Linked DNA regions of Drosophila melanogaster. The protein of the gene in region 1 interacts with the protein of each later gene in a pairwise test. Each region holds a gene or a part of one and is shown in the gene's direction. Other genes may lie near its edges. The genes, in order: CG30178, CG13186, CG12206 and CG14655.

What was found.
Region 2: the proteins of CG30178 (region 1) and CG13186 interact in a two-hybrid assay, tested with the Drosophila melanogaster proteins (one large-scale study listed by BioGRID).
Region 3: the proteins of CG30178 (region 1) and CG12206 interact in a two-hybrid assay, tested with the Drosophila melanogaster proteins (one large-scale study listed by BioGRID).
Region 4: the proteins of CG30178 (region 1) and CG14655 interact in a two-hybrid assay, tested with the Drosophila melanogaster proteins (one large-scale study listed by BioGRID).

Annotation. Positions count from the first base shown.
Region 1 is NT_033778.4:23,984,821-23,991,498, forward strand, and holds CG30178 (uncharacterized protein), read left to right. Parts: upstream 1-1,794; 5' UTR 1,795-1,899; coding exon 1,900-2,463; 3' UTR 2,464-2,488; downstream 2,489-6,678. Other genes in the region: Sox14 (Sox box protein 14), read left to right, coding at 1-199; Phm (Peptidylglycine-alpha-hydroxylating monooxygenase), read right to left, coding at 707-875, 943-1,281, 1,340-1,388, 1,442-1,574, 2,517-2,589, 2,647-2,734, 2,798-2,855, 3,294-3,482; Pask (PAS kinase), read left to right, coding at 4,011-4,098, 4,167-6,678.
Region 2 is NT_033778.4:12,077,704-12,084,447, forward strand, and holds CG13186 (uncharacterized protein), read left to right. Parts: upstream 1-3,572; 5' UTR 3,573-3,614; coding exon 3,615-4,046; 3' UTR 4,047-4,354; downstream 4,355-6,744. Other genes in the region: CG8888 (uncharacterized protein), read right to left, coding at 1,592-1,615.
Region 3 is NC_004354.4:3,469,840-3,478,428, reverse strand, and holds the start of CG12206 (uncharacterized protein), read left to right. Parts: upstream 1-3,904; 5' UTR 3,905-4,288; intron 4,289-4,978; exon of another isoform or gene 4,979-5,057; 5' UTR 5,058-5,280; coding exon 5,281-6,555; intron 6,556-8,589. Other genes in the region: CG10804 (uncharacterized protein), read left to right, coding at 1-78.
Region 4 is NT_033777.3:4,775,291-4,784,205, reverse strand, and holds CG14655 (uncharacterized protein), read left to right. Parts: upstream 1-3,903; 5' UTR 3,904-4,131; coding exon 4,132-4,587; intron 4,588-5,086; coding exon 5,087-5,696; intron 5,697-5,866; coding exon 5,867-6,378; 3' UTR 6,379-6,709; downstream 6,710-8,915. Other genes in the region: Ccdc39 (Coiled-coil domain containing protein 39), read left to right, coding at 111-1,919, 2,241-2,935; atms (antimeros), read right to left, coding at 6,767-7,342, 7,402-8,368, 8,427-8,500.

The DNA of each region.
Region 1 (6,678 bases):
CGGGAGCACTTGTACATACGCGCAACAAGACTACACCGGAAGTGTAATTGAAACACACAATGATCTCAACTACGCCGCACACGATAACAACGGAGCTCTGCTAGCCTACACATTTGAGGACTTGCCGCCTCAGCCAACCGGTAGTCATTTAGAGTTTAACACTAACAAATACGAGTTTGCAAGTTATTATAAAATGTGAGAGATATTTAAGTTTGTGTAATTTATAACTAATCTAATTGTACGTTTATAATTTTACACCAAATTATATATTAAATATGTATATGTATGCAGATAATACCATATATTCCATAAATTCTATATACATACAAAAAACGCGAGAATAAATGCTTTGCATTGAAAATATTTACGTCGGAGCAGTCTCATTTACTGCGTAGTGGAATGATCGCTGATCGCTGGTTCCTGCTATGCGCGACGAATGGGAAGGAGATTAACCTTGCGGCGATCAGCTAAGTGCTCCCAAATCCATTCAATAGGATCTCCAGCGGCTCTCGCGAATTATCTACATATGTTTATTTACACGTTACACAAATATGTTATATAAATCATTGGTGGCCAACAAAAGGGGATACAGAATGAGGCTAAACCATCATTAGTTGTTGCACACGATAAAATAATCCAGACAGTAAGGTAGTATACATTCGTTTCTCTTTCCGCGGCCGATTTCCTGGCTCTCGACGAGCGCTGATTACAAGGTGCTCGCCTCGATATGTGGGATATTGTGTAGGCCGGAGTCGGGATTGGACCAGAAGTAGTAGGGGGCGCCCTGGCTGAAGCAGAACTTCATGTTTAGTGTCTCCCCGTGATCCACGTAGTACATGAGATAGAAGTTGCACATCTCGTCCTCGTTCGTGGGACTGTCATCAATAAATAGTTGGATTAGGAGTGGTGCTAGAGCTGCGTTTCAAATCACTGCGTACTTACCCTATTTTGGTAGTCCGATGGCGAGTGCTCTGCATAGTACACCTCACGGCGATCTTATCTCCCTCGATTATGGGGTCTGTGTTGCTGGTGTTATAGAACATCTGGGGCGTGAGGGGATCTCTCTTGCCCAGCTGCAGCCACTCCTGTTCGCCGTCGCTGTTTGTCCTCACCCGGTAGCCGGAAACGACCTTTCCCAGGCCGTGGGTGTGCACCCGGTACGCAAAAGGATGCAGCACCTTCTGCTCGTTCACCTCGCAGGCCGTTTCCAGGTGCTCCGTCTTCATCGCCGGAATCTGTCCGTCAGTGCCCAGCAGCAGAGTGCCAGCCAGCTTTTTCCGACTGCCAGGATGGTACTGATTATTTTGAAAATCACGCATATTAAACGAAAGGAACTTACGGCTCTTCTGTGTAATCCAAAAACACACCAGAATCATCAGTGGAGCCATCTGAAGAAAAACACATTTAAATTTCCTTATATTGAACGCAATCTATTACTTACCTTTGAACTTATCAATGTGCGCGTAGTGAACTTGCAGCACAAGGTACTTGATTGGCGAGTTCTTGCCCACCTTGAAACCCACTCCCTCGGGCAGATTTAACTTTTGGGCGTCTCTGGCCCAAGCGTATACGATCTGTTGAGAGGTAAGTGTTAGTCCAGTAGGTGAAATTGTCTATTAGCACATTTGGCAGTTAGTTAAAGGAAAAACTCGATAAACAGGTTCAAAACTCTTATTAAACTGTGCTGACTGTCAAGGATTGACCTATTAAAACTTAGCCAGTTAACTCCTAATTATCCGCGCATTTCGATCTTTATTCATATGCCACATCAATCGTTTTGAAATGTTACTATATATGAGTTCGATTTTTGTGTCAAGAACAAGACAAAATTTGACTTTAAAACTATCTTTCCGATTTTTCCTTAAAATTTATAATTTGTCTATCAGAAAGCTGCCTAGTATGTCCGCTTCAATTTGCTGCAGATGCAACGAGAAGATTTGGCCACGGGCAGTTTGCAGCTTGGGTAAGACGTACCATCCGCACCACTTCACCTGCAAGGAGTGCGGCCTGGTGGTTGATCCTAAACTGTTTTTCGCGGTGGACGACGACGTGGTCTGCAGCGAGTGCTATCTGGACAAGCATGCCGCTCGGTGCTCCGCCTGCCGGACTCCGATCCTAGAGCGCGGCGTGGCTGCTGCGGAGCGCAAGTGGCACGAAAAGTGTTTCCGGTGCGTGAGCTGCAGCAAGTCGCTGGTCTCGGCGAGCTTCTTTGAAGTCAACGGATACCTGTTCTGCAAGGCGCACTTCCGGGAACTGTTTTCGTCCCGCTGCGCAGGCTGTGAGAAGCCAATCGATCGTCGAGCCGTGGTCGCGCTGAGCACCAAGTGGCATGCCAAGTGCTTTAAGTGCCACCACTGCCGCAAAAGGATCAGCGCACGGGAATTCTGGATCGAGAACGGTCAACCCATTTGCGCAGCCTGCCAAACTGTAGTCCCGAGTCCCCGAAATTTGTCGGCCCAATAAATGTGTGGTGTCTATCTGGGGGCCTATTTGGACATTTCTTTTTCTTTTAATACCTGGGAATTGGAGTGGGGTCCGCAAGGACTGGCAGACTCTTCTTGGGAAGCTCGGTTCATCTCGCCACAGTTCCTGTGAGCAAAAATGTGCGTGTTATTTACTAGTCTGAAAACATCACTTGCAACTCACCAGGTGGTCTTCGAGGTTCCGGGCTCTCCGCATCCGTAGAGCAGCATATGGTGGGCCGTGTTCATCGTGGCATTAGGATTGAAGCCAACTATTTAAGATAGAAAGGTTAGTTGAAGTATTTAAGGAATGAATCTCATTCGAAAGGACGTACCAATATAGTAGGTGGTAGTTGGGTCGACCTTGATGGGCGTGCACAAGTACAGATCGGGCTATATATGTACACATATATATATTTGTTAGTTTTGTTAGAGAGAACAGGCATATTGGATAAGTCAACAAGTATTATTCAAATGGGAGTATGGCCTTCAGTGGGCCGTTTGCCCTTTTTCGCCACCCTCGTAAAAACAAATTCGTATCTACGGCGCAGGTTCGAGAAGTGCAATCTACAGGTTTCGGTTTCAGGGCCTTACATGTGGGTGGCGAATTGTGTGTATTCGGGTACAACTGAACATATGGAAAAATTTGCACAGTACTCTTATGGGTTTTCCCCGCGCGGAAGATACGGGAAAAACCAGAGCCTATATCGAGGACTTTTCTAATCTGATTGGAATTGTATGCGCACAGCTGCAGCTGGGCGAATCTGTTCATCCATATGGAGCGAACTCCATGATGTATATGTATGGCGTTTTTCAGGAACCTGGACTTACGGTCTGGGGCGAAACGTTGGGCATCAGGAATGGAAACGAAGCCGTTGCGCCTGTTGCGGAGTTCGACTCGAGATTCTGTTGATAAAGGGAGTTTTGGTAATCCCCCTCTTTCACAAGGCCATCCACACTGATCACTCCGATAAGCAGGAGCAGCCCCACGGAAGCGGCTATTTCGGATATGCGTGGCATTTTCACCGTATTCGAACTATATTCGAGTGTGCACTGCACTGAATACTTTGTGGAAAACGAAAAAAAACCTTCCTGTTTGGAAGAACAATACGTTTTGTATTGCTCTCTCCGATATTTTTCCACACGTAGCTAGGCCCAGTTTATATGTAAGTAAGTGCGTTCTAGGCAGCAATCGATACCCAGAGCCATTATATCGATGACGGCGCCAGGGCTGCAGGCTAAGGGTTAGCGGGACATTCAAATATATATAACTTGTTCGCATTAAAGTACATAAAACCAAGTGTAATTTTCAACCTTTCGAATACAGTGATTTAAAGACACCTCAACGCAAAAGGAAACCCCACAAAAGCCAGCCCAATTCAACGTGTCTGCGTTCCGTTCGACCCACTGGGGAATTCCCCTTTTCGCATGCGCCATTCAATTGATTTTCTACGAGCAGAGTTCCCAATGTTTACGGTGCGCTCATTTGGTTGTAGCTGTAGGCCTCGAGTTGGAACCGCTGGGACTTGGAAAACATACGACGCTTAAATGGAGGATCAGGGCGACGTGACAGACCAAGCCGCTGGTAAGCTGAGTAGTTCGAATGCCCAGTGCTCCAGAAACCGATGTGCTAATGGTAAAGCTATATAGATGTACACTCAAGAGCGGTACTAAATTATTTACAAAAAATCGTGTAATTCCCAGATGACCCCATTATGGGCAGCCACAGTCAGAGTCGCCAGAACTCGTCCGGCATGCTGAACATGATGGACGCCAGCTCCTTCAGCATGCCCCCCCCCAATCTGCACTCCTCAAAGGTGATCAACCCGAACAAGGCGATATTCACAATCGACGCGAACACAGGGCAAATTTTTATAGTGAACAACAAGGCCTGCCAGCTGCTGGGCTACACGTCGCAGGAGTTGAGGAACAAGGGATTCTTCGACCTGCTTAACGGCAAGACAGAGAGCCACATCTCCTCCCTGGCGGAGATGCAGATCGAAGGCGATGAGGGCCGGGTCGTCCTGCTAAGTGGAAAGGTCATCGAGATGAAGACCAAGTCGGGCGGCAAGATCCTGGTCTCTCTCTGGATCCGGCAGATCAGCAGCGATGGCCGACACATAGCCGTCGCGGAGCCTGTGGAGAGGCATATTTGCCACATCAGCACCGATAGATCCGGAGTGATAACATCCGTTGACTCCACCACGGCCACCATATTCTTTTATGAATCCGTCGAAAGCGTGGTGGGTGTCAGCATTGTCACCCTTATCCCGTTTATAAAGCTGCCCGATCCGGATAGCCGTGAGATCCCCAAGAGCCTGCGGAAGCAGAGAGCTACTGGTCGAACTACGGATAACGTAAAGTTTCCCCTGTGCTTGCTAATAGCCCTGGACGAGGATGCTTCTGCGGGGTATTCCCATTCGGGAAAAACCGGTCTAAATATCACCGTCTGGGTGTTCCAGAATCTTAGTGGCCTGATTGTGGTAGATGACATAGGCAACATACTGATGTGCAACCAGCCTTTCTCGCTGCTAATGTTCGGATATGGTCAGGACAAGATAATGAACATGCATATATCGGCGATCCTACCCAATTTCGGCAAGGACTCTCGCGAGGAGAAGAGTCCGAATGTTTCGAACACCTCGATAACCAGTAACGACTGGGAGCCGGACACGGATCCCCTCGTCGTGGACAACGACTCCTCGCTGCAATCCTGCAAGAAGAGCTCGACTAACAGGACGGCGCCCAACAACGAACAGTCTTCGGTGGGCGATGCCCACCTAAGCTGCAATCTGGAGAACAGCAGTGGTCTATTCTGCGACCTCCGCCAGCCAGATGATTGTACAATAGATGACATTCTAACACCTGTAAATGCCTCAAACAGTTTCCCCGCTGACGAGTTTGAGGTAGGATCGCAGTCGCAGGTGAATGAGTCGTCCCTTGACAAGGCGAAGTCCGCGTCCACGGAGACCTGTGATGCCTCCGGCAGCAATCCCGCCACCAGACTGCTTAGTTCCATCAACGGAAGCTTTGTGGGGGAGGCCATTCACGCCGATGGCTCCGTCATAGAGGTAGTCTACTCCGTGCTCCTCCAGATACTGCCCTGCTCCAACCGGGTGTACTGCATCTGGGTGTGCCGCAACCCCAGCACTCGGCTGGACGGTGAGAAGTACAACTATGCAAACCTAACGTCCACATTCAACAGCATGGCCAGCACTGTTGAGCAGTCGCTGGGCCAGGTGATAAAGACCACCGCTGCCCAGAACTCCAGCAGACCCAATTCTCTGTCCTTGGTGTCCAAGTACGAGGACGAATTGTACCTGGGCGACTACAGCAAATACTACACGTCCATCCGCCAGATCGGAAGAGGAGCCTATGGGTATGTGAATATGGCTTTCCGGAACAGCGACCGCCTGCTGGTGATCACCAAGTTTATTCTCAAGGAGAAGCTCTGCTCTCAGTTTATGGTTAAGAGCCGCGACTGCAAGGAAGTTCCTATCGAGATCCACCTGCTGCAGACCCTGAACCACAAGAACATTGTGTCCGTTCTCGATGTTTTCGAAAATGATCTATTCTACCAGCTGGTCATGGAGAAGCACGGATCCGGAATGGATCTATGGACGTTCATAGAGCGGCGGCCCCTGATGGACGAAAAGCTGGGAAGCTACATTTTTCGTCAGGTGGCCGATGCCGTCAACTATCTGCACGAACAGAAGATACTGCATCGGGACATCAAGGACGAGAACATTATAATTGACCAGAACTTCACCATAAAGCTGATTGACTTCGGATCGGCGACCTTCATGGAGGAGGGAAAATTCTTCTCCACGTTCTACGGCACGACGGAGTACTGCAGTCCGGAGGTTCTGGCCGGAAACAGATACGTGGGTCCCGAGCTGGAGATTTGGGCCCTTGGTGTGACGCTTTACGTTCTGATGTTTTTCGAAAATCCATTCATCGATGTGGAGGAGACATTGAAGGCCGAGATTCAAATACCGAAAGCTGTGTCCGAGCAATTGAGCCGTCTGTTGAGCTCCATGCTGAATAAGGATCCCAAGTACCGGTGCACCATGCACCAGTTAATCACAGATCCATGGCTCACCCAGGAGGTGAATCCCTCTACTTTCAGTTTCTCGTGGATAGTGCCGTGCAAGGCCCACGAGGCCAATCCGAATCTGTATTTTTCCGGCTACCTATACTCCAGTACTTCGGTGCT
Region 2 (6,744 bases), about 12 Mb from region 1:
GAGCGGCAATCTGTTGCCCGCCAATCGAGAAAAGCTGATGAAAATCTTTTGCCATTTGCAATCCATACAATTTATTGACTCAGGACTTCCGATTTGGTGCTCGTTGAAATCGATAATACTTCTGCTCAATGTTCGAATTCAATGGCTGATGAAATGGTCGAGCACATATTTGCCCAACAATATATCATCGGGCATTTCATTAAAGCTAACCAATTGCAGCCACAGGATCCGGAAACGACCACAAGCACTTACACCAACATATACATATGCTTGCATTTATCAGACGCTAACCCACACATTGACATTGACGTATAGCAATTACACATGACGTGCACAATACTCTCGAAAAAGTGTGGGAAAGCCACTGGAAAATCGGTCGGTTGTGTGTGTGGGAAAAATGGCTGGCAAGAGGGCACCCTTGGCAGCCCCTTTTGGCCATTGGCCATAAATCAACGACAGTGCGAAATAATCAAATGGTGGCATCTGCATAAATACAGAAGCCAATTGATTTATTCGGCCTGAAAATAAAGCAATTCCATTTCGGTTGCTTCGACTATTTTTCCTTCGCCGGATTTGTAAAATCGCCGGATCTATTTATACCTCCTAGTGCTGTCTGGAATATTAAAAGGAAATCGACCATGTCATTTCGGATTGCTTTCGTCATCCGGCGACCTTGCCACCAATTTTGGGACTTAGTTTGCCACAGATACGTGAGTATTATATGTGACTAATGCCGCCATTCTGTAAGTGGCCTACATATGGGCGACAATTTCGATCCGATCTATGTATGTACATATACATATATGCACTTGCTGCCGGTTCAGATATATCTATATTTATGTGTATTTATGTACGATTTATGTACTTAATGGGGTCGCTCAGCTGCCAAGAAATCGGTATATGTCTCCAAGCTTATTTTTATTATTAATAAAGATATGGATATTTATTTTTAGATGATGCGGCCGAATCAAATGGAATGGAAAGTTCTGGCATTGCAAAAATACTCGCACTGTATTTTCATGATGAAAATGTATTTGATGTGTATTTCGTTTGGAAAAAATCCAATCCCTTGTGGAATGTTCATAATCGTTTGCCTCAATGTCAAGACTTTTATTGTGCAAATCTGATTATAATGTAGTCATTATAACATTACTACATCCATTTAAGTTGCACTTAAAATCCCAGGCAGGCGGTAGAATTTTGACAAGTCTCTGGCGGAACACTTAAATTTTACATCTAGCATTTTGCATCTAGCATTTTGCATCTTTCAATTTCTAGTGGCTCGCACGTACGTTGACCCACTTGGATCGTGGCCATTAAGTGAATTTTTGTAATTAATTTGGCGGCCCGTTCTGAACACCGCATGACTTCCTGCCTTTCTGCTCCTTCGTTGCCGCCAAAGGATATCCTTTTCTTCTGCGGCCAAAATGGGCGTGGTTATGCCAGACTGGAGTTTGTGTATTGGCATTTCTGGGTTAAGCTAACTGGGCTAAGTGTGCCATAAGGTATACACAAACGTGGCGACAATAAATTTGGCCTGCGTAAACATGGCCACAAATGGCTTTTTTGCCGCAGGCTAGATTTCACTTACCATATTGTTATCGAAGACCTGCATGACGGATGCTGATGATGGTGTAGATGGTCGATGGTAATGTTCGGATTTTCACGCACTTTCCCAATGAAGTGGGCAATTCTCGTAGTCTTAGACTATAATATATCCGGTGCTAGAGTTTTAGATTTTTTTTTGTATTGTATATATTTTCAAGATCGATTTTCCGCAGCGGTACGGTTTGGGGGCCCGTGGCCTGGGCGCTCTGAGACACGGCGTGGCACTAAGCGGTACGATCGAGTGGCGCTGCCTGCAGCTGCCGAAAATTTTCGCTCGCCGATCGACGATCTCTGCCGCTGCCGCTGGCGACGTCGACGTCGACGTTCAAGTTCTGTTGTATTTCAAAATGATGCAAGCAGCAAATTGTCGTTTTGATTTTTTAAAAATATATCTGAAGTATGTGCAGACATGCGTATGTGGGATACATATACACACGCTGGCACGCCTATTCAGAATAATAAATATATTTAAATATTTGTTGCTCTTGGCGCTGCCCCACTGAAGCCGCAGCATCGATGATTATTTTTCCACAGCGGAAAAACAGCAGAAAAAAAACTCCGAGTGTGCAGATACATTTGTTGAAATATTCTTTTTGGCTCATTTGAATATTGCTTCAAAATGACCCTAGTTTTGAATACACAGTTTATGCGCATAATTAGTATGTGTGCAAACGCCAAAAGTTGCATTCTTAACCCCACAACGAATAGATTTCTGTTGTATGTTTCACTGTGACGTCATTGTCACTGTTGTTTACAATTGCGTTGTTGTTAATTTGCAAATTGCATTTTCATATACATTTTTGGTTTTTTATTTTTTTAAATTCCCAGCTCTTTGCTGCATTTTGTATGCTTTCATTTCGGTTTTATTTGTGGGCCGATGTTGGGAAAATTGGAAAATTGCATAAATAAACCATGACCCTCTGGGTCAGAGGGGGTTGGGGGGGATCAGGAAAATGCGGGCCACGTGTGGGCAGCTGAAGGTAAAAAATCATTCAGCTTCAGCCACGAGAAATGGAGAAATAAAATGCAATAAATGACCATTTGCAATCTCGCAATCCCGCAACCAATAAAATCAAGCAAATAAAAGAGTGTTGCAATCATGTTTACGCTCCAAAATAAGAATTTAAATGATTCCAATTAAAAATGCACAAATTATATAAGAAGACTATGTTTGCTCTTAAAATCAGTTCAATTAGATGTCCTTCAAACACTATTAAGAGACTTGAAAATAATAGGGTTTGCGATTTCATTCTTCATTTTTTTATGAAAACAATCCATTGATTTGGTATTGGTATCTTCTTCCAGCTTATGATAAATATCAGCGTATTTTGTGATAAACCTACATTCAATGGAATCCGTAAAGAATATCTGATAGTCGTCGAAATGCTCTCATCGTATAATTTACTTGCTTTAAATACTCGATTTTTATGTTTTCTCCCATTGTTTATGCATGTTTTTGTGTCCAACAATATATTATTGTTATGCATAGAATTTGTTGAGTAGCTTTTCTGCATGAATATAGACAGTGCCATAAATTGACGTCTATATTGGAGCTTTGCATATATACAAAACAAAAATCTATATATAATGAACAAAATTGTGGCTACCCAGCCAATGGAAGCATTTTCCCCTGCATCTATACAATATCGTTTTTTGTAATTTTTTCAAAGGCGGCTGCGTTGTCAGTCAATGTAGCCAAATTAACAAACGAACAGCGATTCTTTTCGTATGCGTGCCACCAAAAGTTGTTGACTCTTTCGGATTGTCATGCATTTTAAAAATAGGCGCAGCAAAAATATTCTGGACATCGTTGCGCACTTTGAAATGTACGAAAGAAGATTTATGGTTCACAGTACTTTTGTACCAGAGAATCATAAGTGAACCAAAAAGCAATCAATCAAAGCAATTATGAATTCTAGGATTGTCAACATTCGAAATAAAAATGGGTTTTGGTTATTAACAAAATCACTTCGAAATTGTGAAAGTAATCTAAAAAAAAAACCACAATGCCACCAAAGAAGCCGGCAAAAAAGAAAAAGGACGTGGACTGGTCCTCCGATGAGCATTTCTCCAAGGATCGTTCCATGATCTACATCGAGCACACGTACGAGTGTCCCATTTTCCAGACCAAGGCCGACGAGTGCGGAACATTCTTCACGCAACGGATACCGGAGCGCAAGTTCCAGCTGGTGAAGAATCGAAACGGACGCCAGGTTCCGCGGGAAGGAGCCTTCGAGATAGGGTTCTCGCAAAATGCACGCACCTCGGAGCATCTGCTGTGGTCCGGCTTGGAGAAGGGACCGCCGCGTCGGGATAAGTTCCCACTGGACTACGAGGCACTGGTGCCCGATGTGAACAGGATACTCAAGAAATTCTATCCCGACAAGGCGGTGGGCGTGGACGCTGACGACGGGGATGAGGAGAAAGAGGACATGTAAACATTTGCCGCACTTTGTTGTCTGAATTATTATAAAGTCTTTACCATAACAATGGCTAATACATGGCGTGAAAAGTAAACAATCAGCCAGAGACCTGTTGGAGCAACTTTAAGACGTCATCCACCCACGCGGACAAAATGCTCGGCGATTAGTGCGATTCTTCTTTGGCTTTTGTGTGTGTAATATTGCTGGTATTGTTGACTGACGTACTGACATCACACTTTGACAGCTCCTTTCAAAAGTTAAATGCTTAAATCGACCAGAATAATTAACCCAATACAATGCTGCCACATTAGCAGCCACACGATATATATGTGTATATATATATTATTATTACTGCACGGGGACATTAGCGACGCGTCCTATTGTCTGGCTGAGAAATCAGGGCAACTAAATCGGGACATGTGGTGTGTAGTTGGTAGTGGGTGCTACTATCTCGTTCACTTGGTGTTGACACAACAAATACCCCGAAATACATTTTCAATGTACACAATAGAGGACGAGTAATCCAAACAATTTAAATTGAAAGCTGAATTTGAAACAATAGACAAAGGGCACTCACATGCTAGCCGGCTTTTAAATGCTCTTAAAACTATAAAGTGAAAACTATACGAGCAAATCAATTTCCTATAAGCTTTTAGCTTGCATTTGCATACAATAAATGTGCAATCTATATGTTGCCTTCAAATCAGCATGACGCCCTAGTTGCTTTACATAAATAAAGTGCAAGAAATGGTATTTTCATTTGCTGTTCGCCTTTGGATTTTAATCCAAACCCTAGTCCTAGAGTAACATTTCCAAAAAGAGCAGCAGAAAACACATCCACATCCAAATCCATTGCGGATGTATTTGAAAATTGCAATGTGCCAGCAACACAATGGGCAGCTAGCTAGCTAGGAAAGTGGCTGGAAATAAATAAATTGGTAAACCGAAAAACCATCGACCGAGGGCAACAGAAAATTTGCCACTGCAAACTGGCTAGGGGGAAGAAGCCAACAAGTCGTGAAAGTCCAAACCAAATTACATTGTGGGCCAACAACAGCGATGACAATAACAAATACCAGGAATCCAGAGGGGTGCTTCCATGCTTGGCCCTTGGGACTAATACTAATACTCTGCCAACATTAAAAGTACAAAGGCAGCGTGAAAAGTTGCAGTGGAAAAACAAGAGGATTTGGTTGCCTTTCGATGATTACGTGTGTGCAAATGCGAAACTATGGCTCTGTGGATTCTCACCAGAGTTTTCCCAGCTCCACAGTTCGGAGCTCCAGAGCTCCAGAGCTTCACAGCTCCGGAGTCCGGATGCAAATGCAAATTAGTCTGGGTTACAGATGGTTTTTTGATTGACTGGTTATGGTGGCTGACTTTCAGCCACGATTCTAACGCAGTGCAAAGACTAATTTGAATATCACGCATACGTCATGTTCGCCCAGAAACTACAGAGCGTTTTTTAGCGCTTGACCGGCAGACAAAGGCGACTTTCAAAAATATTTAGCAACATTCGTGGCGCAGGTCATTAATATTAATATAATGGCTGTAAAAAATGGCGGGCAGAGGCAGCAGCCAGAAATAACCAAAAAGTAAAAAAGATAAAAATGAAAACGAAAATGTTGCCGCGACATTCCGATGATTTCAACAGATTTTATGCGACCGGCACAAAGAAATGTCAGCGAGGCGTTTTTCGTTCTTCGTATTTCGTGTCACGACTTATTCGGGGAGAAATGGGTTAATGTCCAGTCCAGAGAACGGCCATGGACCATGCAGCCTCCTTCGCTCGAGGTGGAAGTGGATGCATGTGTCAGCTGTCACCGGGATATCGAAGGGGAAACCACACGCCAAGGACAAGCCAGGACGATTGCCAAAAGGCACAGTGCGAAGGGAGCTTTAATGCAAACAGACCGCAACATTTTGCATTAGAGTGTGCGATATTGTGCGATTCCCGGCCAAAAAGTGGGTGTTGGCCCGTTGGCCCGTTGGCCAAAAGCAGTTTGGCAATGCAAGCCACTGACGGCCTGATGTAAAAATAATCCACGCAGGCGAATGCCAGCGAAATGGCACAAACAAACCGAAATGTGTTGTGTGTTATTTTTGAAATGCAATCAGCTGGATGAGGCATACAGCTCCTTCGATTTCCGGACACGTTTCAGTTATCCCATCTATTGATCTTTATATCCAATATCACATAACCCATGTGACCTATCCCATGTCCCATATCCCATATCGCATATCGCATATCCCTTACCCTTTGCTGCAACAAATTGCAGCTGGATCTAAGGGCCATTTATTTAGCAGCGATGCGAAGGCGAATGGGGCAAATGGCAAATGCCAGATGCTGCCATTTTAGGCTTTTGCATTTGTTTTATCGCGCCTAGTCGAAGGTCGTGTGTGTGTGTGTGATGGTAGATGGTGTGTTTGAGTGTGTGTGTGTGTGTTAACCGGGTAAAATCCCCTTTTAATGCGCCAGCTGGATTGGCCTTTGGCTGATTGCACGCCTAACTGGCCTGCAGATTGCATTTGTCACACCTTAATTAAGCAGCTGCGGATGGGAGGAAAGGTCAGGCAACATCATGTTTTTTTCTCTTTGCCCCCTTTTTGCCCTCCTGACCTTTAACCTATTTCGCCGGCAAACAGCATTTTATTTCCATGCGTGGCGGCCATAAAAGGTTCGGTTCTTCCCCACTTTCTGGCCCCGAAGATG
Region 3 (8,589 bases), on another chromosome or scaffold:
TTCAACATGGACGGTACGGAGGGCATGTGTTGCCCAAAGTACGGACTACCCGAAAAGTCGCTGGAAGAGGAGGAGTAGACACGCACAGGATACCAATGATAAGTTGACAACAACGACAATAAAACCAAATGAATTCTTGACCGAACCCAAACCGAATATGATACGAATGATGAAATATATATAATTGAATCTCGATGTAAATATGGACAATAAGTAAGCACTCACCGATGTTAGATGCGGCGTCGATATCAAAACACTCCTATATGGTCGTCCCAAAGACTGTTTGAAGATAAAACAAAAAAAAAAAAAAACAAAACCGAAAAACTATAATGCAAAGCAACCACAACAAGGAAAATGAAAATAGGAAAATAGCAATACTAGGTAAAACTCGACGCTGGATGCGCGGTTTCATTCAAGCAGAAAGCTATAGAAATGCATTAAAAAAAATGGGCGAAATCAATGGAAATATTTCCGCATAACTTCATTAGCATGTGGCCATATACATATATACGCGATTATTGTTTTCCATTGCCTTTCTTCTTTGGTTTGGTTTTGGTTTTTTTTTTTTTTTTTGTCGAAAAAGGGCAGAGAGAGTTTAGAGTTTGTTATATGGCCACCCTTATAGGGTCTACATATCCGATTTCGCTATCAAAGAGAAAACGTACAATTTGCCACAAACACAATTTGCTGACTATATACGATATATATATGTATGATAACTATATTCGACTAACTATGCTATATTCTAGACTTAATTCTTTAATTTGACCATATCATGCAAGGGACATCGGGGAGGGCACCACCTATATAGAAGATATATAACTATAACTATACAGTGACTATATCAAGCACAGTTCATTCTCTGTTGTGATCTCAGCTCGACGGCTTTCTGTGTGAATCACGAAATCATATCACATTCGAAACTATGCTTAAAACCTAAAAAAACTACTTTAAAGTCTCAGTGTTTTAGATATTTGATGGCGGAGATATGTATGTATATTGGAAATGAGTTATGTTTTGCTCTAATCGAAAGTTATACGAATAAAATTACTTGTTGGTAATCGTTATCATCGCCACACTCCATTGTACTTATGGCCTATAGGTATATCTGTAGTTATATATATATACATATACATATACATTTACATATACATTTACATTAAAGAAAAACATTAACAAATCGCAAACGCAACCGTTCAAATAGGTGGAAAATGAACCCTATAAAGATATACATATACATAACTGGAGATGGCAGCTTAAAGTTAAACGACTCATTATTATATATATATACATTTATTTATGTGTGTTTGAAATGCAGCTAATGGTCGCGTGAATTCGTTTTGAAACACAATTCTGGACACTTCTGGGCATTTTTAAAATCGATCAAAAATTAAAAACCCTTGAAAAAGAAATTCACTCCTCCATGTAGCAATGGATTGCACTGTATTATAAGTTATCAATTTCATTATGGTATACTTATACATATATATACATCGATATATATTATACACATCTATTTAGATCGAAAGGAAAACATATATTATACATGTATTTAATGTTATTGATGTTGACAATAAAGGAACCCTTACGAAACGAGTTTTAAACCAAAACGAAAGAGACGCGATATATGGGCGACCTTCTATTACCCGCAAAGAATACGCAGATGGAACACACGCAGTTTGCAAAAACTTGAAAATGAATAGTAATATATTTACGATAAACAATTAAAATCATATTGCTAAAAAAAAAAAAATTCGATGATTATTACAGAATTTGTTATCCTTATTTTGCTAGCTCACAAGAAACTTCTAATTGATGTAAAATTCTTTCATTTGCATTGAAACACATGAAACTATGATATAGATAATTCAACGTATGATTATTAACTTATGTTAAACTTGCAACTGTTAAGTCATAACAACAATTGCAACTAAATGACAATAAATAATAAAAAAAAAAAGCCTACGTTCATATGGTATTTTAATTGGCCACAAAAAATTGGGATTATTTTTTTTCTTTCACTTTTCAATTAGCCTACGACTCCTTTACAAATCCTGAATTCATAAAAACTTCTCCATTGATTAGTGAAGCTTGGCTAGTTTCTTTTCACTGACTAGAAGTAATACACAGTGAAAAAAAAATGGAATTAAATTGTTAAATGTAGATAAATAAGTTGTAAAACATATACAAATGTAACGAAAGGCGACAAAATTCTTTAAAAAATATTTTTTTTTCATTGGCAATCGATGGACAAGTGTCACTCCTTTCTCACAGTGCAGCAAAGTGTGTGAGTGTGTGTGCGCATGTGCAACGGTAATCTGAATTGGCCAACGCCTGCAGCAGCCCTTGTGACTTCAGCGGAGCGCAACAGGCGGAAACAAACTGGCCAAGTGACCGGCCATCGTGCTGGGCGGAGCGGTACCTCTACCACTGGGGGCGGTACGGGTGGCGGTGGCAAGCACAAACATACATAAGTACATACATACGTACATGCATACCATACATTAGTGGTCGTCATCGTTGGACGTCTCACTGCATCGAATTAGCGGTAAATTACAAGCTGCAGCGCCTGTTGCATGTGGCTGCTGCACTCGTACTTTCTGCATACTGCAAGTGCAGCTTTACATTCCGTTGATTGCACACACAAATTCGAGGCGTCTTTCTTTCGGTTTTTTTCTTTTTTTTTCTTTCCTTTGCATAAACACTTTGGTATTAAATATAATTAAAAGCTAAAATCCATTTGGCAATTGTTCAGCCGGAGCGACGAAGTCGCTTGATGGAAAGTTGTTGTTTATGCTTAAGTTGTACATATGTACATATTTCTAAGGCGGAAATTTCTGGGCGACAATGCGACCAATGCGTCCAAAGAGGAGGATTCGTTTGAAACTAGAATCAGCATGGGGTCAACTCGTTAGCTTTTTCAGCTTCAGAGATCCAGAAGTGCATATGTTTATTATATATATATATACATATATATATTTCTTGGTTCGAACTGAACCAATTTGATCGGCAAGCTGTTTTGATTGCCAGCGGAATCGGAATTCCTGCTCTCGTGTTGAAGTCTCAATCGCGTTATCGCCGCACCTGAGCCCCTAAAAACTGAAAACCAGTTTGAGGCCTTGCCACATTCCATTCAGCCATCCAATTGCCACTGCCCACTGTGCCCCGCGCACTCTCGATGTCCCACTGTGCAGCTGTGGCACCAAACAATTAACTTTGGCAACAAACGAGTACTGCGCCGCCAGCAACAGCAGCAGCAACAGCAGCGGCAGCAACAAGACCAGCAATAACAATAACAATAATAAAAGCGACGGACAAGTGCCGACGTCGACATGGGCAGCGACTGCGGCAGAGGCAGCGCCGTCGACAGCGGCTGCGCATGCGCACGTAAACAAATTCTCAGCGGCGCATATTTGTTGCCCGCTTTTTCCTTTGGGGTAAGTTGACTTTTGCACTCATCGTGCAACATGCAGGCTATGTCAAATAAATGCAACCTATTTCTATGCATTTAATAATAAATATAATATATTTTCAATATAATTGAAAAATAATTAAGCAAATGTGTAGCAAGTAAATATTATTAATTATTAGGGCAATACTTGAAATCTGACTTAATTGCGTACTTAATAAGCTAATAAATCTGCTGACAGTGTATTTAAACCATCGCCTTGAAGCTCTTTTATTTTTGTTTTAGGTAATTTCAGCGGCTGCTGCTTTTTTTTTGTGAGTTTCTTGAAAGCAAAAATTAAAAAAACCTCAACAACAACTGGCTTGAGAAAGAGTCGGCGAATGGGCGGCAGACAGAGAGGAAACTATGCGAAGAAGAAGAAGTGGTAAAAAAAAAAAAAAAAAAAAAACAATCCCTGGCGAAACACGCCAACCCAAAGCGACTTTGTTGCTGCGGCTTCAGTTGCCAGCGCGATTTTGAATGGATTGTACGCGCGGCGAGTTCTCAAAAGTCGTGTTTTCAAGCCGATATACATGTGCATATATATACATATATATTACATATAGTAACTGAAGAATCCCAACGAAAGATCAAAGATTGATAGTAAGCACAGCAACATGAAAATCTAAAGGAAAAAAACAGACTGCGTGCGTGTGTGCAATATATGAAAAAATATAGTCCAATAAAAAATCTCTGAATTTTTTGATTTTTTCGATTTTTTCAATTTTTGTTTTATTTTTGTGTGTGTGTTTGTTTGGTATGCTATCAAATGAAAATTGTGTGCAATAAGCGGCGAATGCAGGCCAGCAGCAGCAACAACAACAACAGCAATACCAACGGGTAAATATTTCCAAACAACAAACGAAAAAAAAAACACAAATACCAGGTTCAAGTGTAACCAGTTTCCAGATTCCAAAGAGAAAAAAAAAAATCGTAAAAAACCGCAGTCAAAAATGCCGCGGGCTGTGCGCGCCCAATATTTCAAGTTCCTCCTCAGCAATTTAAATGTAAATTCCGACTCGTTCTTAAGTTTGAAGAACATTCACTGTCGGAATCGAAAAAGTTGCTGCACTAATCGATACGGCTTGCTACATACATACATATGTAGCTACATTAATAACGAAATGATATCTGAAGTTGATTTCGTTACAATAACTATCTTTTGTTTATATTTAAATTGTTTCAATTAATTGCTTAGTTTACAAATATGTATAGAAAAGAAATGATTAGCTGCAAAAATTACAGGGTATTCAGAATTTTATATTCCTTTTGCTTACGACATTCTTTAGCCAGTTCTTTCTGCTTTTTGCGGTGTTTCGTGTTTATCATTATTATGATTATTATTATTTTTTTTTTTGTCTGGTTTCCCATCTGTATTTTTAGTATGCTGGTAAAGCCTTTAACATTTATTCAGCATCATCTTCAACTTAAATGTCAAGCTCGTGTGGCGGCGTCTAACACACTTGGAGAAATTGAAAATACCTATCTTGGTTAGCTTTGGGGTCATATTTAGACATTTTTTAGACTATTAGAATCTCAACGGCTCGTCAAAATTTCAGTCGAAAATAAATAAAACTTTATTTCATTGGCATAAATACATTTCTTGCAGAGGCAACTGCGGCAATTACTTCAATCGTATGCAGGCGGCATTCTAACTGTAAAGCACTTGGCAACGGTCAACGGCAGAGACAGAGGCAGAGGCAGAGGCAGCTGCAAGTGGAACGCACAGGAGCAACATCATTAGCCGGCACTTGATTGCATCAGCTTGGAGGCACGAGATCTAGGCACTGGATATCTGAAATCGGATATCGACAACCAGATGCTGCAGAACCATGGCGGCAATTACTAGCAATGTGTCGCGATTGGAGCCAATGCGCGGTATTTCCATAATCATTGAATCGCCAGAAGTGGCAACGGCAACACCACCACCAGCAACAACAACCGCAACTGCCGAAGCAGAAGCCGCAACAAAACAAGTAGCACCAACTGCCAAGAGCAACAGCAACACTGAAATGTCGCTCAAGTCACAGGCTGCTGGCATGTTGCTGGCATTTGGCGACACAGCAGCAACAGCCAAAGATAATTTGGAAACTAGTTACGACACTGCAGCAAAGTCGACAGCAGCACCAGAGACCAACAAAATCTATCCGCAGTTACTGTTGCGCATTGGCGGAGAAATTGCCGGTGCAACAGCATCAGCAGAAGCAGCAGCATCAGCAGCAACAGCAGCAGCAGCAACAGCAACATCACCGACCATAATCAGCTGCAATGGTGAAATTGCCGCCAGTCAAGCAGCAGCAACAGCAGCGGACACAGCGGCAACATTGCAACACAACAATACGGTGAAGATTCAAATCGAAAGCCAGGGTCAGCAGCGAACACTGGGCAAGCAGATAAGTGTGGTGAAGCTGAACGAGGGCGTGGAGGAGATGCAGCAGCACATGTGCTATTTGGTGGACACCAGTGGCCAGTACTCGCCCTGCGAGACCTTGGACAGTGGCACGGGCAGCGATCTGGAGAATCATCCGCAGCAGCAGCAGCAGCCGCAACAGGTGAGATCACCGCAACTGGAGCTTCATCTGCAGACCACGCGGCTGATGGTCAACGAGGAGGCGGACCATAAGCACAGCCCGCTGGAGACGCCGAGTCCCGTTCCGAAGCGAGCATATAGCCTCACCGATGACAGCGAGGAATGCGATGAGAGCAGCAACTCATCGCTAAGCTGCGATTCCCTGCACTCTGGTGGCCTGCTGCCCACTACCCTGCTGCGGGATATTCGATTCAGGGAACGAGCGTCCGGTCCTCTGGTCACCAAAATCAATGGCAGACCATTGCAATTCGAAACGGATGGCTATTACACATTCCATGTGCGCGAACACGAGAATTTCCGGAGTTTTGGTTCCAATTCCTCGACGGAATACGAAGCGCAGCACTTTACGGATGAGCAGCCGGGTGAGGATTTTGTTGGCTTTCGTGACATTCGAACGGCGGGCAAGCTCGCCGGCAATTCTACAATTAAATCCGCCAAGGGAACCGTACGGGGCGTCAAGAATCGTGTGCGCAATGGAGTAGCCACCTTCTTGCAACTGCAACAGCCCAATGTCAAGGTGAGATTTGCTAATAAGAGTAAGCAACGAAATCAGGTTGAATACTTTGTTTGAGATAGTCTTTTCCAATGAGAAAAACAGCGAAACAAAGCCCATTCAACAATAAAAAAAAGGCATGGAAAATGTGCAATGTATTCGTTGAATGGATACATTAAGCGAATTCATTAATTGCAATTGCAATTTAAGTGAACAATTTCAGCAATGAAAGTCATTGCATTCACCATTGGCACTCAAAATTTAAAAAAAAAAAAAAATGTAAGAATGTCAGAATGTCAATTCCGCCTTAAATCAAAATCAAATTATTTATCGAATTTAAAAATATTTTCAGTTTCGTTTGTATTAAATTAGCGCATGAGAAATTCGAATAAATATTTGAATACCACAAAACTACAATATTATGCGCCAACTTTGAATATGATTCACACAAACACTCATTCAATTGCATGTGGGGGTTATTCATTGAGAAAGTTTTTTCGGTATGGATTTCTTTTTTTTTTTGTGTGTGTGTATTTTTGAACATTTTCGTATTTGTTGTTTAACTTTTGCCTTTGGGTCGCTGACTTTTTCACACCTACACTGGAGATGCATTCGAAACTAAAGATACAAGTATAGTATTGCAGTTGGGCGTCATTATGCAATGCTGATTTATATGTATATTTAAATACATACATATATATTGCATGTGAGGGATCGTTTGTTGGCCTGTGTGAAAGTGAATCCAGACATTTCGGTGATTCATTGCCGCCTTTTTTTTATATATATTTTTTTTTTTTATTTCATTACGATTATTATTGAGAAATTTCTTTCACGAAAGACAATTAACACCTGACTGCCGCTGTCTATTTGCGGAGCTTGTTGTTGCTTGATTCGCCATTAAGCGGCTTAATATGTCGCATACGCCCTTCATTTCTATATGGATATCAAATCCGAAAAGGCAAAAGAAAGCTAAAATGCTGACGGAAGTACAAAGCCAGATAGTCGGCTAGATAAGTTATACATATAAAGTTTGCCTTAAATGATCCGCCACCTGACTAATTGCAAGTGTCTTTTTGTCTCGTTGTCTTATTTCTCAAACCTTTTGATTTCGGTTTTCTCTTTTGTGGAAAGTTCTCTTCTAAACGAGGGGGGGTTCCAAAAAAAAAAAACAAAACGAAAACCAAAATTAATTGACCTATTTTTTGGTGGAGGGGAAGCGCGTCGAATCGCAGTTTTATTGTGCCAGAATTGGCCACGCTCGCACTTCTGAAATACCCTCGATTTTTTTTTTTTGCCCTGTCATCGGGTTGATCTCTGGCCTATTGTATATCGCTTTTAAACGCCTTTTTAATGTGAGTTTTGCGAAATCAATTTACCAGACAGGCGGTATCGAGTTAACCCTGGACATTGAGCAACTATTACAACATCTACCTAATAATTGGTGTTCGATCTGATTGGCTAAGTGCCACGCGGGCAGTTAAAACTTTGATGGTAGTTCAATAATTTCAAGTATCGGTACATTTTCTATTATCTTACATTACATTTATTACCATTTGTGTAGATTCCAAAACCTCTGTGGCATTAAGCAACCTTCGTGAATTTATATAAAATACGACGACAACTCTATCATAGGGCTGTCACCCCCATGAACTTCAAGGGAGTTCATCAATATTTCATCCAAGACTCAATCAAATATATTTGACTGCCTTCTCAACGAATTAAATGTCAACTTCTTTGGCGACTCACACGTTTTTGTTTGGTGATTTTTCTTAGTCAAATTAGCAAAGCCAACCTTGAAACCAAAATCAATGTATAATTATTGCTAAAATAAAAAAAAATGAAAGATACCAAAAATTATTTGGCTAAAAACAGCTTGCATAATTTGTTCAAGAAACACACAAATTATCATAATAAAGAGCCACTAATGCGTTAATTATGCAACAACAACAACAACAACAGTAACAACAATCGGATATACTGAGCAGACAGATCGAATTATATTTTATGGGCCGCAGCCGATTCCTTTTGCCTTTTGTTTCAGATACGAGTTTTTTTGCA
Region 4 (8,915 bases), on another chromosome or scaffold:
AACCAAAATGTGCAACTAACCAATTTGCTGGTTATTAAGCACACTAACCATCTATTATATATCATTTGATGATACATGTGCAATTTCCCTTTTGTTTGTCCTATGACCAGGAAAGATTTGCCAGAGCAAGCGCGAGATAGATGAGCTGACTTCCCGCATCAAGTCGGCTAAGACTACCTTGGTGGAGTGGACAGAGGCCATGGAAGACGGAAACAAGGGCTACCAGCTAATCGAAAAGTACTACCTCGATGACCAGCAAAAGGCACGGGAGCTGAACATTAAGCGTCAGCTCTTGCAGGCGGACATCGACAAGCGGCGCAAGCAGGTGGTGCTCCTCTATGACGAGCAAATGACGCTGGAGAAGAATCTGGAGCGAACCGCTTGTCTGTACAGGTCTGCCCACGCGGAACGCCGCCAGATGGTGGAGACGTGGAAGAGCGCCGTGAACCAGATGACCCAGCGAGAGCACGACATTCAGCGCAGCGAGATAGAGTGTGCGGAGCTGGCCCAGAAAGCCCAGCAGACGGCTCAGACCTACAAGGAGTACGACAACCAGCTAACCGAGGTCATCGAGAACAACCGCCAGGTGGAGCTCGCGATCGAGTCCCTCAACGAGGAAAGCTCCGACATGAAAAACCAAATCCAGATCCTGATTGATGCCACATTACTGAAGGAGCGCGAGATCGACGGACTGCGTCGGGAACTGGAGAACCTTTCGAACCGGGTTCACCTGCAGCGCATGGATAACCGTAGTCAGATGAAAAAGCGCGATGAGAAGGCCAAGGAGCTGGAGAACTTCGCTTCGGTGATGGAGAAGGTTAACGCTCGGCTGAAGTCTGTACAGAACAAGGCCCTCAATGCGGAGCAGCGGCTGCAAATTCTGGAGGAGATGATGCAGGCGGAGGAGACGGCTCTGCGAAACCTGGACAAGGAGCAGGAGAAGGTCAACGAGATGTTGTACCGCACCCAGAGGCAGGTCATCGAGCTGCAGGACGAGGAGAAGGTCTTGAAGGTGCAGAACGACTCGCTCAACTCCAACCTGGCAGCGATCAATCGCAATCAGCAGCAGGTCAATAACGAACTCAAGCGGCAGACGGAGATCCATTACAGCCTGTCCTTTAAGTGCTTGGAGGCGGAGCGGCGTCTCGCCGAGATCAAGGGTCTGGCAGATGACCCCGAGGTAGAGGCCACAAACATGGCCCGGCTTAACACTCTGGAGCAGGAGTATGAAAAGTTGCAACGCCTCATCGCCACCACGGAGGCGCAGAATAAGAAGCTAAACTATAACATGAACAACCTGGTCGTCCAGTACAACGCCGACGAGAAGGAGCTCGAAATGGTCAGGTTCAAGATTAAAGAGGCCCAGGTGTACTGCGAGGGCACCGTCAAGAGACTGCGCCAGATTCGATACGAGAATTCCGAGCTCATAGTCGACCTCAACATGGTCAAGATGCGCTGCAGCGACCTAGAGGTTGGCATCGGAGGCTGCGAGCAGGGCACCTACGACCTAGAGCAGCACCGCCTTGCCTTCCGGCGCGCCATCAAAGATCGCACCGTTGAGCTTCGCAGCCAAGAGGATGTGCTCCTCCTCAAGAAGAAGCATCTTAACGAGGAACTAAGCACCCTGCGAGCCGACCTCGGGGAGCGGAAGAAGCAGATTGAGGCGATGAAGGCGCGCTTTGAACTTACCGCCCAATTGCTAGGCAAAAACGAGGACGGCTCCATCATGACCAGCACACAGCTGAAGGTGGTGAGCGCCCAGGAACGGCAGATGCTGGCCGACGAGGGCGATGCCCTCAACAAAAAGGTTCTCAAGGCTGAGAAGGAAGTGGTCGCCCTGGAAAACACACTGCGCCAGTTCGACAAATCGAACGATAACTACCGAAAAACATTCCGATCTGTGGACGAAAACTCAAAGGGTGAGTTATAAATGACCATTCAGAGTGGAAAGGGTTACTAGTATTAGCAACATTGCTCTAATTTTGAATTTTAATAACACTCACAGATACAGATATTGAATAGGAACAAATTAGGTTTTCTGGCTCTATAAAGAATAGATATTCTTGATCAAGATCCATACCTGAGTCGATCTGGCCATTTCCGTCCGTCCGTTCCGACTTTCAGTAACTATAATAGCACATTAAGCGGTCATATTCTAGCCATGTCTACAAGCCGGGTGGCTTAGAATTGTGTAATTCAATGTTAAATTGGTAGATTTTTTCCATACTTCTAATTTCTAGATCGCGAGCGGGCCGAACTGGAGCTGAAGGAACTTGAGGCGGCCTACTGCCGCGAGCTGGAAAAACTGAAGGTTCTCAGGTGCAAGGCACAGCACTACCAGCAGAAGCACGCAGCCCAGCGAGCTGAGGAGGAAGACCTGATTTCCAAAATAGAGAAGGCGAAGGCTAGTCGGGCGGAGCACTCTGCAGTTCTGGAGAAGATCGAGCGCGAACTAGATGACCAGCGAATGAAGCTGGACAGGGCCAATCGAGAGATCCGGACACAGTTGCGGGAGATCAAGGCGCGGCCCTTTAGCGAGGAGTACCTGGCGCAGTTCGAGCGGGATCTGTCTCTACAGGAGCTGGAGGCGCGTAACACCAAGGCGCTGAACATGATCACCGATCTGGCGAACAGCGACGAGAGCGGCACGGATATAATTGGAATCCTCTTGCGAAAAGGAATCAAGTTGCCGATGCACCTGAAGCGCACGTGCAGCCGCGTGTCCTGGAACAGCAGCTCCTCGGGCAAGTCCTCGCAGGGTCAGGACACCGCCTCCTACCTCAATGTTAAGGGCAAGAAGTTCTCCTGCGACGGGGCTAGTGCCCGGTCCTCCGTCTCCGACATGAGCTCCCTTAAGGATGACACATCCTCCACAACCTCCCACTCCGGACTGAGCATCATATCGCTTGAGTTGCCCTTGCCGAAGAAAAAATAATAGTCTAAAATATATTTATTTATTATTCCGTTCGATATCCGATGATCTCAACCCGTATGCTCGTATCTTCACGTGTTGGCATCGCAGTGTTTACAAATTGACCATCTAAACGAAACAGCGAATAAAATGCGTTGCCCAAGCGGGTCAAAACAAGAGAGCATCGCGGCCATAAAAATAGCACACAGCGATTCAGTGGGGGTATAGCTCGGTGCACATACACATAGGCGGACAAATGTGTGTGTCTAGGCGATTGCTTGTTTAAATCGCTGAATAGTAAATACTCTACAAAAGTATTACACAAAATATGTATATTAGCTACCACCTTTGGTGTGGGTTTTGTATTGGTTTTGATCAGATCTCAAGTAAGCTCATTACAGCATTAAGATTTAGACGGATATGCTAATTCAATCTGAAATACTCAATCTTCGTATTTTCCTAATAAAGAAATATATATAATAATAATATTTTCTCAGTTCTTATTTACGAAAATGAAACGAATGATTTTCACTGGTCCGAAACTAAAATCGAAAGAAGAAATCTCCAATAAGAGTACATATTAATGTGTTTACTTTTTATGGAGTGCTTAAAAAATGGAGCGACAATTGCAGTAACCAACCATATTCCAATTGGATATTGGCGGAAAAGCCAATTATTAAACCAATCTGGCGATAATGATAGATCTCTAGATAAGTCCCGCAAATCGCATGTGGTCATCTCAGCGAATTGCTCCTGCGCATCGTGCGTTACAAAGACTAGAACGAAGGCTATATGGCCGCCAGTGCAACATATATCGGCCAGAAATAATTCTACATACATATAGTATATAGCCGTGCTCAGAGCTATATTTCGAAATGAGCTACCCAGAGACACGGAGAAAAGAGACTGCCTTGTTCGAGAGATGGGATTTCGGTGCTGCGAGTGTTTCCGAAAGTCTTCTTGACGATTCGACGATCCGCGCCGGGCATTTCATTATTTTTCATTATTTCGTTAGCTGGCATCGGTGCCGAGAAGTCAGATTGCTGGGCCCAAAGTTTTCAAAAATCTTCACTTGCTGATATTTTTAGAAAATTTTGAAAGCAGAAAGACTAGGCAGTCTGGGAATGGACTCCTGAATAGATGATCACAGACCGAACAGGAGGATAATCCCAATAGGAGGTGAAGCATTTGCATAAGATTCGATTGAGTGCACTGGCGAAATGTGTTCCACCTCGGTGCTGTGTCCGCTCTGCGCGGTGCCCAGTTTCGGCAGTATTGACGCACTGCAGCAGAGGCTGATCAAGGCGGCCAACGGCCCACTGGCCTGTCCCTTTGCCAACTGCAAGGAGCTCTTCCTGGGGCTGGACAAGCTCACCATCCACCTGTTCTCGCACACAAGTCTGATGGCTCAGGAGGGAAACGAGAGTCCAGCGAATGGCCAACCCGCCTCGTCCCGGGGCTTCCTTGCCGCAGCTCCTCCCAAACGGAGGGCCAAGCGAACCAGGTCCAAGCCCGTCGTCCCAACCCCACCGCCTGTGCGGACCACCCCGCCCGCCCACTGCGACATTTGCGAGTTCAGTTTCCGGAATACCGAGCTGAGGGACATGCACGTCCGCTTAGTCCACGAAAATGCGGAGGGAGAACCCAAGCAAAAGGAACCCCAACAGAAGGAACCGGTAACTATTGGCTATGTACATATATTAAGTGCTATTATCTAAAGAGTTTCGTAATGCACTTTCGCATATTCTTATATCGATTTTGATTTTTTTTTTCTATGCTCACTGGCAGCAAAAAAAAATCATACTTAAAAAGCTAGACCATTTACATTGAATCTGAAACAAAAGTTTGACGTAATTAAAATCAACAACAACAAGAAAGAAATCTATATACCCTTATATTTTAAAAACAACTGATGTATGTACGTATATCGTTCCCATTATTTTCAATTAATTTTTCAACTGTTCATATGACTATGTATATATATGATAGATATTAATTTGTTTTTGATCAATTTAAAACCATGGCAACTTTGTGATATAGTGAATGAAAGTGAATGATTTTTGTGCATAAATTTGAAACTGAGAGACAGACGGTAATGTAATGGAATATTTGGCCATGAGGGCATATTGATGAATTGATAAATATAAGTGAAATTCCGATTATTGCTTTATACAGGACCAGGAGCCCTACAAGTGCCATCTCTGCTCCAAGACGTTCCGAATGAAGGGCTCCCTTCGAATCCACCTGAAAGTAGTGCACATGATGGGCGTGCCCTGCTCCAATCCCAATCCAAATCCTAATCCCAGTCCTACACCCGCTTCTACCACCAGTGCAGTTACTGCCACGCCCAAGCTGAGCATTTGCGATCGCATTCGACACACAGAGCCTGGAGCCCTTGGCAACGGAAATAACTCCACGTGCACCGCATCCCAGCCATACGCGCTGAGTGGGGCGCTGAGCATGCTCCAGCAGTCCCCCAGTTCGCCGGAGTCGGGCACGGCCACCCCGAAGCTGTGGGAGTGCGATGTGTGCAGCAAGTCCTTCACCACCAAGTACTTTCTGAAGAAGCACAAGCGGCTCCACACCGGCGAGATGCCGTACACATGCGAGATCTGCGCCAGGACCTTCACCTTCCAGCAGTCGTACCACAAGCATTTGCTCTACCACAGCGAGGTAAAGCCCCATGTCTGCGGGGTTTGTGGACGCGCCTTCAAGGAACTGTCTACGCTGCATAACCACCAGAGGATTCACAGCGGCGAAAAGCCCTTCAAGTGCGAAGTCTGCGGTGAGTATCGATCAAACCCCTTAATTAGCCGCCCCTTATTTTGTTAGCCAGCTTATAAATGAGCATACTCCATTGCGATTTGCCCTATTTACTTTAAATGAAGGAGAGGTATACCTTCTTTTCCGGGTCACTCCATGTCTAACCTTTTCGTATTTCGGACTCGTCCACAGGCAAGTGTTTCCGGCAGCGAGTCTCTTTCCTTGTCCACACGCGCATCCACACGGGAGTGATGCCCTACAAGTGCGAGCTCTGCCAAAAGACGTTCAGGTACAAGGTCAGTCAAAGGACCCATCGATGTCCCACCGAGGAGGCCCAGACACCGGAGCAGCTGATAAAGGCGTTCCTGGAGGGCAACGACTCGCATACTCAGCCTTCACCAGCGAGCGCCGAAATAGCTGCCATCAACAGCAGCTCCATTGTGGATCCTGAGCAGGAGGCACTGCTTTCGCAGTCAATCGACGACATTGTCGTTGAGCAGTGCCAAAAGCTGGGCATCTGTGGTGTGGAGCCGCGGGAGGAGGGACAGCTCATATCCCTACAGCCGGTTGCGGTGGTACACTTCAGCGGGAATGGCTCTCCGCTGCAGCAACTCCAGAACTTGAGAATCTACTCACCGCAACAAACAGAGCTACCTAGTTCCGATGGCGAAGTCTTCCAGCGCTTTTTGATGGACGCCACGTAGTTGGAACGAAGATGCATATATCCACTTAATTTATACCCTTTTATATCATTTTACATTGTTTGCACTTCCCCAAAGGCGATCTAATCAATTCCTAAGCACCCCCTAAGAAAAACGTCTTAATTACATCTTCTTATGAGGATATTATTTGAATCTTAGTTGTTTTATCTCAGCCAAGTGTAAATCGACTAGGACCCGACTTGTTTGCAATACAACAACAACATCTAATATAAATTATGTTAAACTGCCGATTTTATTTAAAACTATTCTGGGCAACGAACCCGAGCGCTGAGTTGAGGCGAAAATGATATTAAATCGAGTTAGTTCAGTTTTCAAATGTACTTGGTTGATTATAAACTTATTTATTATGAACGCCGTTTTTTGTAATTAATCATTCATCTGAGGCGCTTCCAGAGCTGGATCCTGAACCAGAAGGCGAGCCACTGCGAGACCGGCTGGGCGATCGCGACCCAGAGCCAGATCTGGAGCCCGAACGTGATCGGGAACCGGACTTGGATCTCGACCTAGAACGCGACCGAGAGCCGGACTTGGAACGGGATCGGGAACGTGATACCGATCTCGATCTGGATCCGGATTTCTGGGATCCTGCCGGCGAATTTGTGCGTGATCTGGAGCCGCTACCAGACCGAGAACCAGACTTTGAGCGGCTGCTGGCCCGAGAGCCGGAGCCAGATCCAGATCCTGAACTGGACCCGCTGCGAGTTCGACTCCGAGAACGAGACTGTCGATCGCGGGCTACCTGGGCGGGTGAGTCCGCTCCAGATGCTGCCTGTGCGCCAACAGCTGCGTCCTCGCTCGTCTTCTCCGTCTCGCCAATGATTTGCATTTGCTCCTCTTCCCTCACTTCTTCCACGATCTCCTCCTCCTCGCCAGGAACTTCTAGCTGGCGCTCGCGATAGCGCTGCATACGATGCTCCATGCTGTCCAATGGACGATGCTTGACAACCTGGTAGAAATAATACAAAGTAAAGCTCGCTATAGATGTATGCGCATAAATATACTTACCAGCTTGGTGTTGTTGGGTTGCTGGCCAACCTTAACGCGACGCTTGTTAAGGCGCACACGGGTTTCTAGCTCGTTGTAGTAGATGCCGTCCTGACGCATCACGAAGAAGTAGTTTTCTTCGTAGCCCTTGGAAGCTTTGGTCTTCACGTTCCAGTTGTACTCTCGAGCGATCTTGTACTCGTACTCCTCCTCCTCCTTGTACAGCTCGCCATTGATGAAGTCTGTACGGCGTTTCTCCAGCGTCTGCTCTGTGGGCAGGAAGTAGGCGACAAACTGTTCGCCGCTCTCGTCCATCACACCACGAATCATGGCCTGCGACATCTCCTCCAGCTGGGCGGGCACGTTCTTGCCCGCAGGAGCGGGATCACTGTCAAATATGACCTGGGCGCACGGGAACTTCCAGTTGGTGAAGTCGGGGAAGATAGGCAGTACCTCCACTGGCACCACATTGGGCTTGGAATAGTGCTTGGTAATTTCGCTCTTGGTGTCGCTGAAGGTCTTCTCGATGGCTTTGATCTGGGCTTCGCGGTCCAGGTAGAGAGTCTCCTCCCGAAGCGACTTCTTGACGTTGTAACCGACCTTGGCCTCGATGTTCTCCAGGTTCTGGGGCTGGAAGCGCGTCTGCTCGGTGGAGATGTACTCGGATTTGCGCAACCATGACACCGTCCTCGAATGCTGGCGCGAACGCACAGAGTCTGTGGGCGTCAGAGTCTCCTCCTCCAGCAGTTTTTCATCGGCGGGGTCCAGCAGCGTCATGGAGTCGGCCTGATAGAGCTCCCGGTTAATCAGGTCCACCGTGACACCCAAATCGTGTTCCGTCAGCACGTCATACTTGAAGTTACGCTCTAGCGACGTTGGGTTGTACTGCACGAAGCGGTGGCTGTCGAAGGGGTACTGCAGAAACTTCAGATCAAATGGTATATCCGGCAGGTTGTTTCCATACTTCACGCGGCAAATGATCTCGGATCTGCAAGGTACACATCAGTCTGAGTATCTGGCGTCTGTTTAGGGATCTGTTCACTTACTTGCGCTCCGTTTGCCGCTGGGGTCGCTTTTCGGCGGCACTGTTTACCGCCGAATTGTTGATCGTGGGTGGCATTGTGTCTTCCAACAGGTAATTCAACTCAAGCCCCAGTTTTGGTAGCGCTTCTAGTCCATCAAGAGGCCAAATCTAGAAATCCTCAAATCTGCGCTTGGCAGTGTGACCGTACTTGACCGGTACGATAATACCTTCGGTAAAAAAAATACTATATTTCCGGGGACTCAAATGCAACATCCTCATCGTATATAACACAACATCTATTTGAATTTCATTTCCACAACTAATATTATGGATAATGCTTTATTATCATTTTCCAAGTTAGCGATAAATCACCCCACAAGCTGAAAAATCAACGTTTAAAAACGATTGATATTTTTTTTAATACTTTTTGGTTTTACTATTTGAATTTTTGTATACTTTTAGATTTTACTATTTTAATTTTTCGTTTCTTCTAGCTGACTAACGGGTAAAA